Nothobranchius furzeri: one gene and its partners. The protein of the gene in region 1 binds, or shares a complex with, the protein of each later gene. Links are inferred from orthologs where the notes say so. Each region holds a gene or a part of one and is shown in the gene's direction. Other genes may lie near its edges.

Evidence for each region.
Region 2: med20 (region 1) and mediator of RNA polymerase II transcription subunit 13-like share a complex: the UniProt entries of both Homo sapiens proteins name them as parts of the mediator complex. The link is inferred for Nothobranchius furzeri from reciprocal best matches to the Homo sapiens genes MED20 and MED13L.
Region 3: med20 (region 1) and med21 share a complex: the UniProt entries of both Homo sapiens proteins name them as parts of the mediator complex. The link is inferred for Nothobranchius furzeri from reciprocal best matches to the Homo sapiens genes MED20 and MED21.
Region 4: med20 (region 1) and med1 share a complex: the UniProt entries of both Homo sapiens proteins name them as parts of the mediator complex. The link is inferred for Nothobranchius furzeri from reciprocal best matches to the Homo sapiens genes MED20 and MED1.

Annotation. Positions count from the first base shown.
Region 1 is NC_091743.1:46,651,386-46,655,524, forward strand, and holds med20 (mediator of RNA polymerase II transcription subunit 20), read left to right. Parts: upstream 1-1,339; 5' UTR 1,340-1,431; coding exon 1,432-1,445; intron 1,446-1,857; coding exon 1,858-2,003; intron 2,004-3,198; coding exon 3,199-3,452; intron 3,453-3,535; coding exon 3,536-3,757; 3' UTR 3,758-3,946; downstream 3,947-4,139. Other genes in the region: bysl (bystin), read right to left, coding at 85-223, 339-495, 798-1,071. UniProt on the Homo sapiens protein: Component of the Mediator complex, a coactivator involved in the regulated transcription of nearly all RNA polymerase II-dependent genes.
Region 2 is NC_091746.1:54,299,461-54,303,723, reverse strand, and holds the start of mediator of RNA polymerase II transcription subunit 13-like, read left to right. Parts: upstream 1-1,463; 5' UTR 1,464-1,656; coding exon 1,657-1,728; intron 1,729-4,263. UniProt on the Homo sapiens protein: Component of the Mediator complex, a coactivator involved in the regulated transcription of nearly all RNA polymerase II-dependent genes.
Region 3 is NC_091741.1:59,847,008-59,851,033, forward strand, and holds the start of med21 (mediator of RNA polymerase II transcription subunit 21), read left to right. Parts: upstream 1-1,226; 5' UTR 1,227-1,276; coding exon 1,277-1,318; intron 1,319-1,654; coding exon 1,655-1,769; intron 1,770-3,943; coding exon 3,944-4,026. Other genes in the region: fgfr1op2 (FGFR1 oncogene partner 2 homolog), read right to left, coding at 238-372. UniProt on the Homo sapiens protein: Component of the Mediator complex, a coactivator involved in the regulated transcription of nearly all RNA polymerase II-dependent genes.
Region 4 is NC_091756.1:39,221,577-39,225,642, reverse strand, and holds the start of med1 (mediator of RNA polymerase II transcription subunit 1), read left to right. Parts: upstream 1-1,266; 5' UTR 1,267-1,310; coding exon 1,311-1,431; intron 1,432-2,332; exon of another isoform or gene 2,333-2,410; intron 2,411-2,763; coding exon 2,764-2,870; intron 2,871-4,066. UniProt on the Homo sapiens protein: Component of the Mediator complex, a coactivator involved in the regulated transcription of nearly all RNA polymerase II-dependent genes.

The DNA of each region.
Region 1 (4,139 bases):
ACCCTGGGAAAAGAACAAAGTAGGTGAGATCATTTTTAACAGGAGAACACATTTCAACATAACACAAACAACTGTATAACTTACCTTACCGACACCCCGGTAGACCTCGGTCACCCTAGGGTCCAGCTGGGGCATTGGAACCCCTGATACCTCAGACATCACTGTTCCCACCTCGGTTTGCTTCTCTGTGATCTTCTCCATGATAATATCAGCTAAGGTCCGCCTGTGATGGTCACAAAGAGGAAAACAGCTGAGTATACGAACATAAACTTAACCTCAAAGTGGACTTTAGCAAATTCCAACAGCTAGAATTCAAACAAAGTTGTGAGAAATCTTGCCTCATTGGAGGGTTTTTATTCATGAACATCTCAATGGCCTTCTCATCATCAGAATCAACGATGACTTCAGTATCACCCTCCACATCACCATCCCCAGCACCTGCTTCTCCCAGAACTGGCCAATCTTCATCTGAGTCAGCATCCTGGGACTCAGGGCCTAAAATAAACAGGTCAGACAACATTAGAAAATATTATTCATGCATTCAGCAAAGACTTATTTCACCTAAATAGTTCTGAGAAGATCACGCTGGGAACTATTTTTCTCTGTGATCGTCTGACATTTTGTCCACATAAAAAACATTCGTCATTAGTTTTATTTTTGCAGAGAAATAAAGGGATGTTGCATAAGTAACACCGTATAACTAATTACAAAAACACTTTCGTGGTTTCTACGCTTGATAAACCAGACTTAATTAAAAAAAATACTGCCAATTTAAGGTCCGAAACCCTCCATCATACCGAGAACAGTGACTGGTGCTTTCCTCTGCTCAGGTGCCAGGCCATACTCGGTCTGCAACTCCTCTTGTTGAATCCGGGCCTGTTGTAAGATTTTCCTTGACAGACGTTCATCCACGTAGGTGTCCTCACTTTCGACCCGGGCGTCTCGATTCTTCACCCGGCCTCGGGCTCGGATCGTGTCCGCCTGGAGGATCTGGTCGGCCAGTGGCACCGCTCCTCCTCCGCCACTCTTCTCTCCTCCACCGCCACCTTTAGCTCTTTTCACTTTCGGCATCTTTCAAGAGTGACTCAAGCTGCGACGACGCTGTCCGTGTTTTGTTTTACCATTAGAGACACAAACAACGCGGAGAAAGAATTCTGTAAACAGTCTGTATTCTACACGTGCAGATTACCGTACGGCGGAAGTGACGATATACGTAACGTCTGTGCACTGAAAAACATATATATAACATACCATTTTATATGATGTTGATTTTATATGTTTGTATGTAACATACATTTATGCAATATGATTATAAAGTTTCTTGAGTTTGTTTTTTAATTTTCTGAAACAAGGTCGTTTACGTGCACCGGAAGTGTAAATGTTAATCCGGAAGTAATTGCTTCACGAGTGTTTTTTGCAGGCGAGAAATCAATGGGTGTTACTTGGTAAGCAGATTTACTTATGTTGTAGTTAAATGCTAACTGTAATAATATTTTTGTAATATATTTTATCACGCTGTGCATATGATTTCGTTTGGCATGTGTAGCTAACTCGGTGAATGTAGCCTTTATTTGCTTCCAAACCGTTTTACACTGAATAGAATAGTGTTTATTGTCGTTGTACGGTGTACAGCGAAATTAGAGTGCCACTCTCTTTAGTGCAAAATGGAAAACTATACAAAAAATAATACAGAAATAATATAAATGTAAAATGAACAGTAATATATATATTAGTTGGGTTCAGTAAGCAGAATTTTAGCATATTGAGTAAACAGAAATAGGACATTCAAATGTTATTGCACATGATCAATTTTGAACAGGTTGCTTCACGGTGTTGTGTTGTTCTTGTGCTGTGCAGTGTTTGCCAGGTGCCCGTGGCGGAGGGGAAGAGTGTCCAACAGACAGTGGACATTCTGCATAAGAAGCTGGAGCAGCTTGGAGCTGTGAAGCAGGGCAACTTCTGTGTAGACTGTGAAACATATCAATCAACAGTAAACGCTGGCGGTAATTTTCAGCTATTAACCATATAAATATTATCATTCCTGTTGTTTAGGTGCTTTAGATGGATAGTCTTCTGCATTGCTATTAATACAACTTGCTGCAGGGGAATTTGTCATATTTCTTTGATTAAATTCTGCTTTTTGAAAATGTTCTAATAATTATGTCAAATATTTGACTTAAACTCAATTGTCCAGGATATGTGTGCCTTGTGACAAATATATTGTCAAGCTATGTAATTTTCATTTTTACTGATCTTATTTCTCTGTAAGGTTAACAAAAACAGTCATCCATTGGGTAAAAATAGCCAGATTAAAATACAGTTGGTGTGTTTTAGAAAGGTTTTCTGTAAATCTTCATTACTATGTTATGCAAGGTTAAATGAGCCACGTTTCCACTGTATCTTTCCCCAGAAGTCAGGAACATTTAAAAAGCCCCATCCACTGCAAGAATCCGCTTAAATTTGTTTAAATGGGACAGCAGTAGCTCAGGAGGTAGAGCGGGTTGTCCAGAAGGTTGCAGGTTCGATCCCGGCTCAGACCAAAGAATTCTGCTGTTGTGTCCTTGGGCAAGACACTTAACCTGCCTTGCCTGCTGGTGGTTGTCAGAGGGGCCGATGGCACCAGTGCTCAGCAGCCTCGCCTTTGTCAGTGCGCCTCAGGGCATCTGTAGTGACATCATAGCTCATTCCCACCAGCGTGTGAATGTGTGTGTGTGAGTGACTGTGTTGTGAAGTGCTTTGGGGGGATGTAGAACCCTGTGAAGGTGCTATACAAACACAGGCCATTTACATTAAGCTCCTTGAAAAATAGTTTTTATTTTTATGTTTTATAAACATCCGCAACCCGGGGTCTATAAACGTTTGATTTGGCATTTATCTTTCTAAGTTACTACTAGTCTTTTTTTTCCAGGTTTCCACCAATGAGTCCATTAGCAGAGCAGTAAATCATGATCTAATTTAGCTCAAGTGTCCTCCAGAAAAAAAGGTGTCTGCTCTCGCATCCCTCATAAGCAACATTTATATAAACAGGACATGGTATGATTCTACTACTTACTTGTGTAATTTTAAACTTAATAAGCATGCTGCTCTAATCTGTGTCCAAAAATAAAAAAATCATGCAAAGTCATTATGCAAAAATTGCATTGTTACATTTTGCTGTTCTTCATGCAATTTCTCACTTTAAGTCTGGGTTTGTTACAGGTCAGCCCTCCAAGCTCCTTTATGTAATGCACAACTCTGAATTTCCCCTGAGCTGCTTGGCTCTGTTTGAAGGAGGACCCTGTTTGGTAGCGGACACAAACTTTGACGTCCTCATGGTGAAGCTGAAGACCCATTTCCAGAATGCCAAGGGACACAAGGTGGAGTGTCGCGGTTCGAGATATCGCTACTGTGACTTCTTGATTAAAGTTGGCACGGTCACAATGAGTTCCAGTGTTCGAGGGATATCAGTGGAGGTGACAGTTTGGTATTATCAGTTAGACCAGAGGCCCATTGTTCTCTTTTTTGACAGGATTAACCCTTGATGTGTTTTCCTCAGGTGGAGTACTGTCCCTGTGTGGTTCCAGGGGACTGCTGGAACCTCATGAAGGAGTTCATGCTGTCTTTTCTTGGCAACAATGTTCCTGAGCTTCCCACTGTATTTGCTGCCAAGCCTGAGGGTCTTTTTGCACCAGCAGACTCTGTCGACACCATGACTCAGTACCTGGAGTTGTTCAACAAGCTACGGAAGTTACAAATCACAGGAAGCAATGTGCACTAATAACATTTTTTAATGATTGTATTGATGTGTGTTAAATGTGGTCCTATGGAAACCGTATGATTTGTATAGTTCTATTTTTGTAACTTCAGTTTTGTATTTGTTTACCCTGATACAGTTAAAAGGAATACAGCTACAATCTATAGATGCAAATGCTCAACACAGACAAAAATAAAGACAAAAATCTACCTATTTCTGCAAGAAGTAAAAATTCCTTACACTCGGTGGGGAAATGTTGGTGTCACAGCAGCAATCATTCACATCAGGAGCAAAGAAGAACAAAATCCTGTAACATATGCAAGAAATTCTTAAAACATTCAATCGAATAAAAAAAATCTGTGCAGATAGACGAAGTTTATAATGAGGAGTGATGGCATGAAAGGAG
Region 2 (4,263 bases), on another chromosome or scaffold:
AGCTCAGTAAATCAGGCTGACCTCTATTGTCACACCCTCTGTTTGTGAGAACAGTTACATTATGTAATCATCAGAGTGACACCATCTTGTCATAGAAAACAAACAAACAAACAAAAAATGTTCTCCACAAACACATCAGGGACACATTTGGGAAGTTGGGGACAGTGTCTCCACCGTGTCCTCCCCTCCAGCCTCACATCAGAGACATGTAATCCCACACTTTGGTCATGTGAGAACAAACTTGGCCAAACAGAAAGGCTAGTCTCTGTTGAGCGCTTCCGACCGCCATTACATTACAATGCGTGGTGGGCTGGACGATCGTGCGCAAAAAGGAAAAAAAAAAGAGGCTTCAGCGCTTCGCGTAAAACACACACACACACACACACACACACACACACACACACACACACACACACGCATTCACACCGATTCACACTGAGGGTGGCACATCCAGGCTGCGCGCACGCCCATCTAGCCGTGTAATAACGCACTCTTGTCTGACAGATAAACAATGAGGAAGGAGTCGCTGCGGTTGAGGAAATCATGCACATGCTGGAGGATTTAAACCAACAACGACCCGACCGCTTCTCGAGAGGCAGGAGCACGCGATTCGGCCGAAGCAGTCTGCAGAATGCAACATTCGCCTTGTGTTGGGATCGGCGCCAGACGAGGACGGTCACTTTTGCTTGAAGGGGAAGAAAAAACCCAGAAAACCTGTCTGATATTTTTTTCTGCAACACTGAGGCTTTTGTGGCCGTGAGAGAGGAGGTTTCGTAAGCTGAAAGGAAGGAAGGATTTTTTCAAACCTCCATCTACAGCCTGTTTTGTCGTTTTCCTGCTCGGTGGAGTGTTAGACTTTTTTCGTCTTGCCTTTGACTCATGATTCGGGGTTATTTATTGCTGGAAACCCGCTCGAGTTTCATTTTTTTGTCCACGGAGGGGAGCAGCGTGAGGAAGGAGGAGGAGGCGGAGGAAGGGGGGAAGGTTGTGTTTCTTTTTTAGCGGATCGTCTGCGGCGCGTTTGATTCAGGAGCAACAGAGGGATTAAATATTCCTGCTCGCATGCAGCAGCAGCGCCTGTTTGTGTGAGCCAGACTGGCTTACATTGTGTGAGAGAGGAGCGGTTGTGGCAAGAAAGGCGGCTATAAATAGCGCTCGAAAACTATCACAAATGGTGCATCAGCTTTGTGGAGCACACGGAATCACGTTTCCTGCGTGAAATAACCATCGTTTCCAACTTTGACGCTTATTTCACCCCCATTTTTTGAGGATTTGTGGATTTTTGCCTTTTGGATTATTTGGAAACTGATCACATTCCTTGTGTGTGTTTATGTGTGTGTGTGTGGATTGAAATGGATACTGTTTTGTTGATCAGATTTGGAATGACCTGGATTGGACCAATGTTGTGATCCCCTCTCATCACACTCACGCGCTCGGATTTATCAACATTTATTATCTTATATGTATTTTTGAAGAAAAAAAATTGGATTTAATGGATGCATCGCTGTACACATCTCTCTGAATACGCCCATTCCCGAGTCTTTTATCTTGAAGCCTGACTCTTAAGGGAACCCATCTGTCACCCCTGCTCGGTGTTGAGATACCGATGTAGGATTTCGACATGCCCTGCGCTGGCGACCCCAAAGGCGGACGATTATGACTGCAACGGCGAATTGGGTGGCTAACGGGGCAAGCCTTGAGGACTGCCATTCCAACATCTTCTCTCTGGTACGGTATGAATAAATCATGCTCAGCAGCTATAGACAAGTCATAAGACCCATGGGAGGCACGCTTAAATGTGTGTCTGCTGTACAAAGGTGAACCAATTGCTGATGTTGTTATTAGACAATCATTAACATGGGTTAGTGGTGTGGGAGACCAAAATAAAGCCACTATTACCACTAAACCTGCGGATCAACAATAGCTGCTATTTATATTTATCTTTTCCCAAATGCTCTAGTTTAGCAGCTACAAGAAGATAATTTATTGCCAAATGTCCACGCGTTTGTGAAATAGGATAACAATGCATGCTTCATTTTGCCAACTGGAAAATCGTGTCTAAAGAAAAGAAACAAAGATTTGCATCAACAAGGCACACGACGGAAGCAGCCCTTTCACAGAATCAGAGAAAAAAACACGTTTTTCACACTACATGCGGTGTCATTTTTGCACAACTCATCGCTTTTGAGGTTGAAGGAGGCAGAGCAGTGTGTTTTCACAGTTTTCCTCCTGCAATCAGCGAGTTAACTGTCTTACCACAACAGGCAGCCAAGTGGAAAGGCATGCACTGAGCTCAGGCAAGCAGGGCTGCTGAGAACCACAACAACATAGGGGTCCTGAGGGCTTTTCAGGTGATCCTGCAGGTTGTGGACCATGTTACGCCAATCGCCGCCACAAATTGTGGCACAGGGGGCTTGAGAAAGCTCCTATGAATGTTTCATTCTAGTCTCCAAGGTGAACGAGCGAGAAGAAATAGATCTTGTGTGGTTTCCCGTGCACTGACACATGCTCTCCGGTATCAGACATCTTAAATTTTCTCAGCTTGACAACAACAGAAAACAGTGATTGTGTCTCTGTCACCATCTCATCTGAGGCTATTCCCTCGTGGAAAAAAGCTTTCATTCACTCACCGAGGCTTTATTGGCCATCATGAACATCCCTTTCAAACTGAGGGTGAAAGAGACCATCCATCAGCTGGCTTGTTGAGAATATTTATGACTGGCAAGTGCTTCGGCGGTCTAACTGGCAGGGTTCCTGCAGGGTAGTCCAAATAAGCAATGACACACACACACACACACACACACACACACACACACACACACACACACACACACACACACACACACACACACACACACACACACACACACACACACACACACACACACACAATTCCTGTAAAAATGAAACAGAGATAAAGACACTAACGTGCTCATTTAAAATGCATTTGGATGTGGAAATAGGGCTGGGTTCAACGGTTAAAGAGGATTTTCTGTTAAAAGTGAGTTTATTTAAAACAGAAGCAGCTCACACCTTAGTTTTTAAACTACGATTCTCATTTCAGTCCTGTTCCTAAGTGCAGAGATAGTCTGACGTCCTACAGACGCGCTCTGGACTGACGGACTCTGCACTTCCATGCGACGTTGACTGTTTGCAAGGAAAAACTTCTCAAGGCTACTAATAAAACAGCACAGAGCACATGGCTAATTGGCATCTTTGCTGTTCTAATGTGGTTTGATATGGTTTAGCTCCTAATTCCTCTTTTCACTAGGAGAAAACTAGAAGATAATTGCATTTGTAACATAATTTCCCTCGTTAGATCATGGACACTTGTTAGAGACATTACAATCTTTATATTCTCATCATTATGGCAGTTTTTTAAATTAAAAACAAAAAAACGCTGATGGTTTTGACATTTTATTTGGGTTAGTAATTAAAAAGAGCCGCAGAATAGAAATATTTTGGATTCTAACAAACCATTAGTTGATAGGGACATATGTTAATAGGCTAATTTCTTGGGTTTGAGCTTAATAAATGATAAGAAGACAGGCTCCATGGTGGGAAATTTCCTAACCTTTTCCTGTGAGTAACAAAGGTTGTGTTGTTATAGATAAAGGTCTTCAGGCTAGCTGTTGAGCGCTCTCCTCTGACAGCCTGTTTAACAGCATTCAAGCATGCACGGACCTTGTTCCTCTCATTTGCTCACTGTTATTGCAACTCACAACAGCAAAACACACAAACAAAAACAGCTTATTAGAAAGCATAAGTGCTCATACTGTGGGACTTTAAAGGGACATGGCAGATTACTGTCGTGCACTCTGCGTGGCCAGCGTCGGATACTTGGGATGGCTGCAATCGCAGTACCCACAAAACAACTGTCTCCTGCGCTGGCGACCAACCATCTGTGACAGAAAGCAAACTAGACCCTTGTAAGTGTGAGTGTGTGCATGTGTGTGTGTAGGGGGTGCAAAAAAAGCAGAGCTGGCATGATGAAGGAGGGGGGAAAGGGCACAGAATGAGAGGAGAAACAGAGTGAGGCTTTTCAGCAGAGAAGGACTGCAGCAGAATCTGTTTTCATTTTAGGAACGTATTATGACTGATGTACATTTCCTGACTGCAAGCCTCAGCCTATTTGAGAGAAACTGAGAGTGAAAGAGTGAGCCAGAGCACGGAGGAGGAGGGGAGGGGGAATTAAGGAGGGAGAGCGTAATGAGAGAGGGGAAGGGAAGACAGACATCTTTCTGTGGACTGCGTAGGTTCCTT
Region 3 (4,026 bases), on another chromosome or scaffold:
GTGAAAAAATAAATAAATAACGAATCAATAAAAAGCTTCGCCCTCAGTAGTTATGTCCTGTAAACTAAACAGCAGTCAACGCTACGGTTAAAATATTCCATCATTCTTTGGAATGCACTTTACTTTCTTCTTTTGCATTATAGAGTGTTCAGTTATAGAATTAGTAAAATGTGACCCCTGGTGGCACTAAGCTAGTACCCAACAGCACATAAAATAGGAAAAAAAAAAATCACATACCGTTTTTATAGCCTCCACTCTCTTGTTGAGAGATGTTGTCTGTTCAATTAGCATCTCAGCGGCATTGTCGTGGTTACGAAGCCTTTCCACTAATGATTTGGCATCTGCCAAGACCTTCTCTAAACTACAATTCATACCTAAGGAAATACAGAAGCATAAAAACAACTTATTTTTGATTATTCAACAGCTCTGACTTGTTGGTATCAATTTATTGAAAATAAATATAATTAATGCAATACACTACGAATACATGCAAACAAATCAGTCCAGTAAGTACTAATCTTTATTTCTTCAAACTCAGCTCATTCAAAGATCTGTCTACTTCTATATTAGTTGTTCAGAATCTTTTTACAGACAGCCACACGAAAATACATGAACTTTCACTTCACCACACTCTGTAAAATAATAATAATTCACCAGAACGATCGAAATGAGCCATGAATAAACGTTTCTAAAGCTAAAGAACCTAGCTTGAACCTTAAGCCTCCTCGTAGGTGATAGCACGCTAGTTTACAGCCAATAATGCATTGATAGGTCATTTTACTCTAATAAGAGTTTTATTACTTAACATATTTTGCATTTACTGACACAATTTATCACCACAACACTTCATTAATCAAATATAAACTACCGAGGAGTTCATAACACCAACCGGCTGCTATAACTAAACTTGTAAGGTCCACAAAAGGCAGCAAAACTGACAAATGTGTGGTCATACCTGAAGAGTTCAAAGTACAAAACCACTTGGGTTGAGTTAGCTTCTTTACTTCCTGTTGTTGTTTGGTGGCTAACACTGGCTAAAAGCTGACGTTTACTCCGGATTAGATGCTTTGGCGCGTTCCCATTTCCTTAAAGCACGAGAGTAAATATCGCTAGTCATGAAAAAGTCGATTTAAAACCTATCCACATTACAAAAAACCAGCCGTGGGACGGTCACAGCCATCGCTTCAGCTAACTCGAAGCCTCTTGTTTATTTCCGCGAGACGTTAAACTCTCGCGAGGGTCACGTTGGGGAGTTTTTTATTTTATTTACGGCAACATGGCGGATAGGCTAACGCAACTTCAAGACGCTGTCAATTCTGTAAGCAAAACTATTGAAATATCCCGAAATATAATTATTTTCTACGTCAATAGTTATTTTTTTATCTTACACAATTACAACAAATGGATTTAGATAAGAAATATTTGCAGAATTATCGTTTCAGTCTTTTAAATGTAGCTAATCGCTAACTTGCGAGTCTAAGGTTTAGTTAATTTACACAATTTATCACAGCTTTTATGTTTTAACCAATGAACATGGCTTGGTTTAACTGGTAATGCAACTATCAGACTATACTGGCTGTTTATCTATTCTATATTCTTTTAAACAAATGTCCGGAGTTTTAAAACCCGTGTTTGTTTTGTTGCGTGTGAACAGCTGGCTGATCAGTTCTGTGATGCCATCGGTGTTCTGCAACAATGTGCTCCACCTGCTTCCTTCAGTAATATTCAGACAGCAATCAACAAGGATCAGCCAGGAAATTCAGCCGAAGGTTTGTAACTTCAAAGCAAAATCTTTATTTAAATCTCTTTTCTCCCACATTCAGCTAGCCTGACCAGTCATGCATCCTTATGGGAAGCATTAGTTCTCTGTGTAGAATTAAACAGAGGACGAGTCTGGCAGGCCAAACATGCTCACATGCCTGGTGGAAAAATCACTACCAAACTCTCATGGGTTATTTATTTTCCTATTCGAAGAAGCCACAATTTAATAAATTGTTTCAAAAAGGGGTTTCGGGGTTTAATTGTATAAAAGTAAAAATGCTAGTCAACAAGTGAAATACTATTTCCAGGATAAAGTTAAAACGTCAAGAAAAATGTTGAAATTTTAAAGAAAATTGTCAAAACGTCTAGGAAAAAAAGTGTTACCATTTCCAAAATAGCCTGAAGAACTGAATCTCAACTGTACCCTGCCCATCCCCAAAAGTGTCACTTTGTAATATTTAGTTGGACTGCCCTTCACTTTGATTGCTTCTGCAATGTCAAAAGAATTATTCCCATCCTGAGTTGCATTCATTTTTTAATGAGGATCCTGTAGAGATGTTGAACAATCAAACAGTTTTAACAATTGTCATCGCAAAGATTGTCATTGGTGCTCATTGGGTCTGCATCGATATGCCCTGATCTCTTTCATGGTTTGATCCTGATGAATTGTGGAATTGCCATCTTGAGGTTATACAACCTATTTGCCTTGTTAAATCCAGAAGGGATTTATTTTGTTACAGGAAGTGTTGTTCCCTTTTAACTAAAGGGACGTGTTTGCTGAAGACCCTTATTGTGAAAGACTGAAGATCTCCGAGTTCTGCTTTAACAAAAGGAGTTAAAACCTGATATTTAAAGGGACTTTACGGAGTTTTGAATTTTTATGCTAGCGATTGCCCCCTCAGGCCAAAAGTGTAATGGCAGCTTCAATAGTAGGCTCGTGCACGAGGCGCGCATGCTGTACGTGCACACTCCTTTACGAAAATAACAGCTGAGACAGTCCCTTGTGTGTGTGGCCCGGAGGACAGAGGACAGGAGAAGGTGCAGCTAATTAAATAATTTGGTTCTGTACCTTTCTCTTCAGCACAGCCGACAAAGGTTTAAGATGGGTCAGTCCTCCTGCATGCTCAGATCATTCCCTTCCCTTGCTTGAAAAATTGTTCCAAAATGAAAGTTGAACCCACATCTTTTTTATCTGTGAATTCAATGCCGTTCGGCAAGTGTCAAATAAAAATTTGGGCATCTTACTGCAAAAAAATATACCATTAATGTAATGTACATCCAGATTCGAACTCGAGTCTTCTGCACGAAAGTCCGTCGTCTTACAAGGCGAGCTAAAGCGCCAGTGACGTTCCTTGTGTCTGTAACATTTATATCCTTGATGACAGCTGAAACAACGTTCAAAGAACAGTTTGGAGGGCTATGCCTGAGCGTGAACACGGATGAAGCAGCCTGCTCGACCCGAGCAGCTCTCTTTTTCTGTGATTTTACAGAAAAACAGGCAATCACAGTAAAAATGCCAGGGCTCATTCTACAGGACCAGGGCATTGCAGGAGAATGTATGAAGAAGAAATTTATTATTTCTATACATGTTTTGGCTGTCAAACTTCCATAACGTCCCTTTAACCAAATAGTTATTTTATTGAATAGTTTACTGGGTAAAACATTCCTGTAACCGTCGGTTACAATGATGATAAAACTGGAACAAATGCAGTCTGATTCAGGGGCACAACAGGGTTTGTTTTCTTTTTTGGAAGTTATATTTTGATATTTTTCAAATTAAATTGTAATATTTTTCCTCAGTATTTAGACGTAATTATAGATGTTTAGAATTTGTTCCCCACTATTTAAAGATGGTTTCTACTTTTGTCTCTTGTCTTTTCTCAATGTTCTAGAAATAGTTAAGTGTTGATTCTTAACCTTTAAACTTTTTTTTCTTCATCCTGGAAGAAACAAGCTGACTTTGTCATCGACATTATGACTGTAATCTTGAATTTTTAAAATACTGTTGACGTTTGTCTCGACATATTGACTCATTCTTGGGATGTAGCCTTTATTCTGGGGGGAATATTTAGACTTTTCTTGTCATTTGGAACTATTATGTCGACTGTACCTACTTGTTTAGTTGCAGCAATGGCACTAACGCTCATTGCATTCCCTCATGTGTGTTTTCCCTCTCCTCTAGAATATGCACGGCTATTTGCCGCTCTTATTGCCAGAACAGCCAAAGATGTAGATGTACTGATCGACTCTCTGCCCAGTGAAGAG
Region 4 (4,066 bases), on another chromosome or scaffold:
ACACTCAGCCTGTAGGTGAAAAAACTGGAACATTTTTCCTCATGTTCACAACACTGTGTCAAACAGTTCTCAGCTGAACTTTCTCTTTTTTGTCTCATGTCTAGCTCTGCCCACTCTGCTGCCATTCTGACATGGCACTGATACACCCACCATGAAGATTAGGGAAGATTTAGGTCCAGTGCCAGCTTCACTCCCAGTGCCATACCATCCCTCAGCACAGAGAGGGAGTGGGGGGTGTCCCACTTGGCGTGGCAAGGTGAACTAGCCTCTGATTGATGGGCATGGCTTCAGCCCACTACTGTGCTCCCCAAGGCTCGTGCCTCCTTTTCCTTTCTCCCACTGCTGTCTTGGCAGCAGTGCCCAAATCCTCCTCTGTGCCAAGCAGCCAGCTAAAGCTCCTGGTGGGCACATCAATTACATAGCGGCACCTCCCCTCTTTTCTTCATGTCTATCTGTAGGTCTGTCTACTGACTCAGATCATGCCAATCTAGTCCCTCTCCATCTCCAGTGCTGTCTATTTCTTGTGTGTTTATTTAATACGCATGTTCTTAAAGTATAGCCTTGCAAATGCACCAATACACATATTCATGAACACACTCCCTGCTCTATCTCATAGGCAGGTCATAATGGTTGGTGGGAAAATCCTCCCTGGAGAGCACTCATTGCCACAGGCTCAGCTGTGCAATAGGCTCAGGTGTCTGCATGCAGTATGCGTTTGTTTTTGCAAGGCATGACTGCTTTTGTGGCTTTCATTTTTATTTTTTTAATATGCTGCTTTATATGCAGCTGTGGTAACTTTAAAAGTGGGATTTACCAATAGACAAAAAGAGATCGACAATCAAAACGTGTTACTTGAAATTTACAGTTAATAAACATAATTGTGTAACCTGTCAGTTGCTTTTGGCAAAACATGAATCATTTCCTTGCAGTAGTACGCCATCTGGAGAAATAATTAAGTCACTGTCTTAGGAGGAAGGTGCTGTTATATAGTGCTGTTCGACACAGTTTTAATGTTTTGTTTGACCAATAAAAGAAAATAACTCCTGTCAATTATAATCAGTCGAATTTCCCTGAAAGTATTATATTTTTAAAATAAATCTACATATTCGCGCAGGGACAAATGAAACGAGATTGTCAGGTGAACTATTAATAGAAACTTTTTTTTAATTACAAGAAAATTTGATTTGTAGAAGAAAACTGTAAAGACACCAGGGTTATTTACATTCTTTGTAGTGTCACACTCGCGTCCTAGAGGATGGGCGTACGGAAGCCGCCTGGGTACGCGGAGAACTCGAAGCTTTGAGAGAACAATGGCGTCGGGGCCTGGTGTCTCTCTGCAAAGTGGCAGCCCGGCCAGAGAACTTTCTATTTCGGTTCAACAAGGAGGAAATCTGCCTATCGGTGACCGGGTAAAACCCGAAGATGTAACGGGTGAGGCCTGCTTTTGTTTTAGGTGCTTTAGTTTATTTAGAGTTTTTTAAGATGCGTGAAGTGCTAGGAGAGGTGAGAGAGGCTATCTATGCTAACTGATAGCCAACGGTGTTAACTATTATTGGTGTCGTATTTTTAACATTTAGACTATTTTTGAATATGCAGACAAAATAATTAAACATATAATAATGGAATTTTTTATGAGTGATACAGTTATTTATTTTTTATTTTTATTTCTGCCTTTGTTATGTTGCTAATGGCTAGCAGGAGCTACTGTCTTATAAACTAAATGCAAACGTCAACATTAACATTAGATCAGATTGCAATAATATCTAAAATACTAAAAACAAGTTTATTTGTACCAAATTAGTATATCATTTGAAGGGATGAACGTAAGACTAGCTTTTAAAACTAAGCGAAATAATCAGTCATCCGTCATTAGCTCATTGTTACAAGTTGTAATTGACAGTTAACCACAATTCGGGCGTTTTAATGATGGGAGTATTTAATCGCTTAACAATCTCGTTATGAACTCCCCTCCTTATCCACCTTCCTATGTACTTTAAAAACGATGAAGAAAAATGTTTTACTGCAAGATAACTTTTGAATAAGTTGATAAATGATAACAGAGAACTTAGTTTTGGTGTTCTTTGTTCACAACAAATGTAAACAGCCACAGTTTAGGTGTCATAATCTGGCTGAATGTAAAATTATTATAGGGACAACTAATTTATCAACACAGTATTCACAAATAATAAGTTATCTTTTAATAATTTGTTGTAAATTATAGCACATGTTGTTACCGTTCACATCTTATTTGTAGGCTAAATACATTACAACAGACATCTTCAGCATGATTCATCTACATCTCAGACTGCATGTAAAATATCTGAATGTCTAGATTGGATCTGGTTTTCAACTGGACCAGCTAATTCATGTCCATGGCTTTTTACGGATAATGGCAACATGAGGACGTAAGGTAAATCTGGGCTTCTTTATTTTCTCATAGTTTAACAATCTCCACAGAAGAGCCACCTTGTTGTTTTTGTAATCTAAACGTTATGAAAGACTTGGTAGATCTTTGAAACTACAGATTCTGAAAACCTCAAAGAATTTTTTTTCTGAAAAAAGAAAACATTGTAATTATCTTTATATTTTTGGAAATTCACAGATAAAGGCCCCTATATATTTGCAAATTCCTAAAAGGACGAGTTTAAATGATCTGTTTGAGTGTAGTAAGGTTCCAAACTTGGGCAGAATACACGAGTAAATTTGATTTGCTTTTTAATCATCATCACAACCTGAAATATGTTTTTTTTTTGTCTTTATCAGAGGCAGAGAAGCAGAGTCGGATAGCTGCTCTCCTGGAGAGACTTCATGCCAAACATAATGCTTCACGACCATGGCAGGAGACCTCCAAAGTTGTGCGTCAGGCCATGGTGAGACAGATTCATTCTTCTATAGAAAATAAATCTAAAACATAATGTTTCTTATCACACAACCTGAACTTGACACTGACCTTCTTACTCGCCGTCCAGGGTTCCCGCGGGGTCTTAAAAAGTCTCAAAAGCATTGAATTTAGGATTTAGAAAATAATACCTTAAAAAATCTTTTAAAAGTCTTGAATTTTGACAACTGGGTCTTAAAATTTGTGCTGTATGTAAATTATCCATATTGTATTTGCATTCTAAAATTGCATTTTTCAACCACAATAGTTTTAATTAAATAACATAGTGTAAATAAAGAATGGCAGAACCAATCAAGTGGTGCTCGCTGCAGAACCACAAAGGCGGAGCTGCACCAGAAGGTGGAGCTGCACCAGAGTCAGCTCCGCCCATTCCAGAATCAGCCCCGCCCATTCTATCGGAGTCAGTCCAATTCCTTCCAGTTGTCAGACTTGATAGCATTCTGGAACCAAAGAGGGTGTTATAGCTAAAAAATGCAAGATTGAGGAGGGAGTTGAGAAGTGAATTGAACAGTTTTTGTAAAGGTTCCATATAATTAAAAATCTGACTTTTGGAACTTTTAATCTTGTTATATTGTCATTTCCTCATAAGAAACACGCCAAAGCCATTTTTGGCCTCATTCATGCATTTTCTTCCCATCTCAGCTTCAATTTGGTCTCCTCCCCCAAAGCGGGTCTGGTCTTGGTTCTCAAATCTGGATATTCTGTGAATTTTCTGACAAATTATTTCTGAAATGACTTCTACTGAGACACCGCCAGAAAAATCATACATCCCATCTACAAAGACACACCAAATAACATAATAAAATGTAACGCCACTTAATTTTTATCAGATGTGGTGGTGTAGTGGTGATGGTGTCAGGTTGACATGCAGTTTTGCGCAGGTTCGCCTCCCAGCAGTGGAAATATTCTAATATCTCTTTTCCTCATTTCTAGCTACACTTGCCAGTACTATGTTTACAACGATTTATTGGTATGCCGTTTAACATATAATGACTAATGTGTTTTTTTTATTTATTCATTCGTTTATTTAGCCAGTGTGAGTCCATCTGTGAGCAGAGTTTCAACTAAAATGCTGTTTAGGAACGACCAAATTCAAAGAACTTGTAGAGACATAAATATTTTGCTGAAAATGAACATTACAACTAAAATATGAACAAATTAAATGTT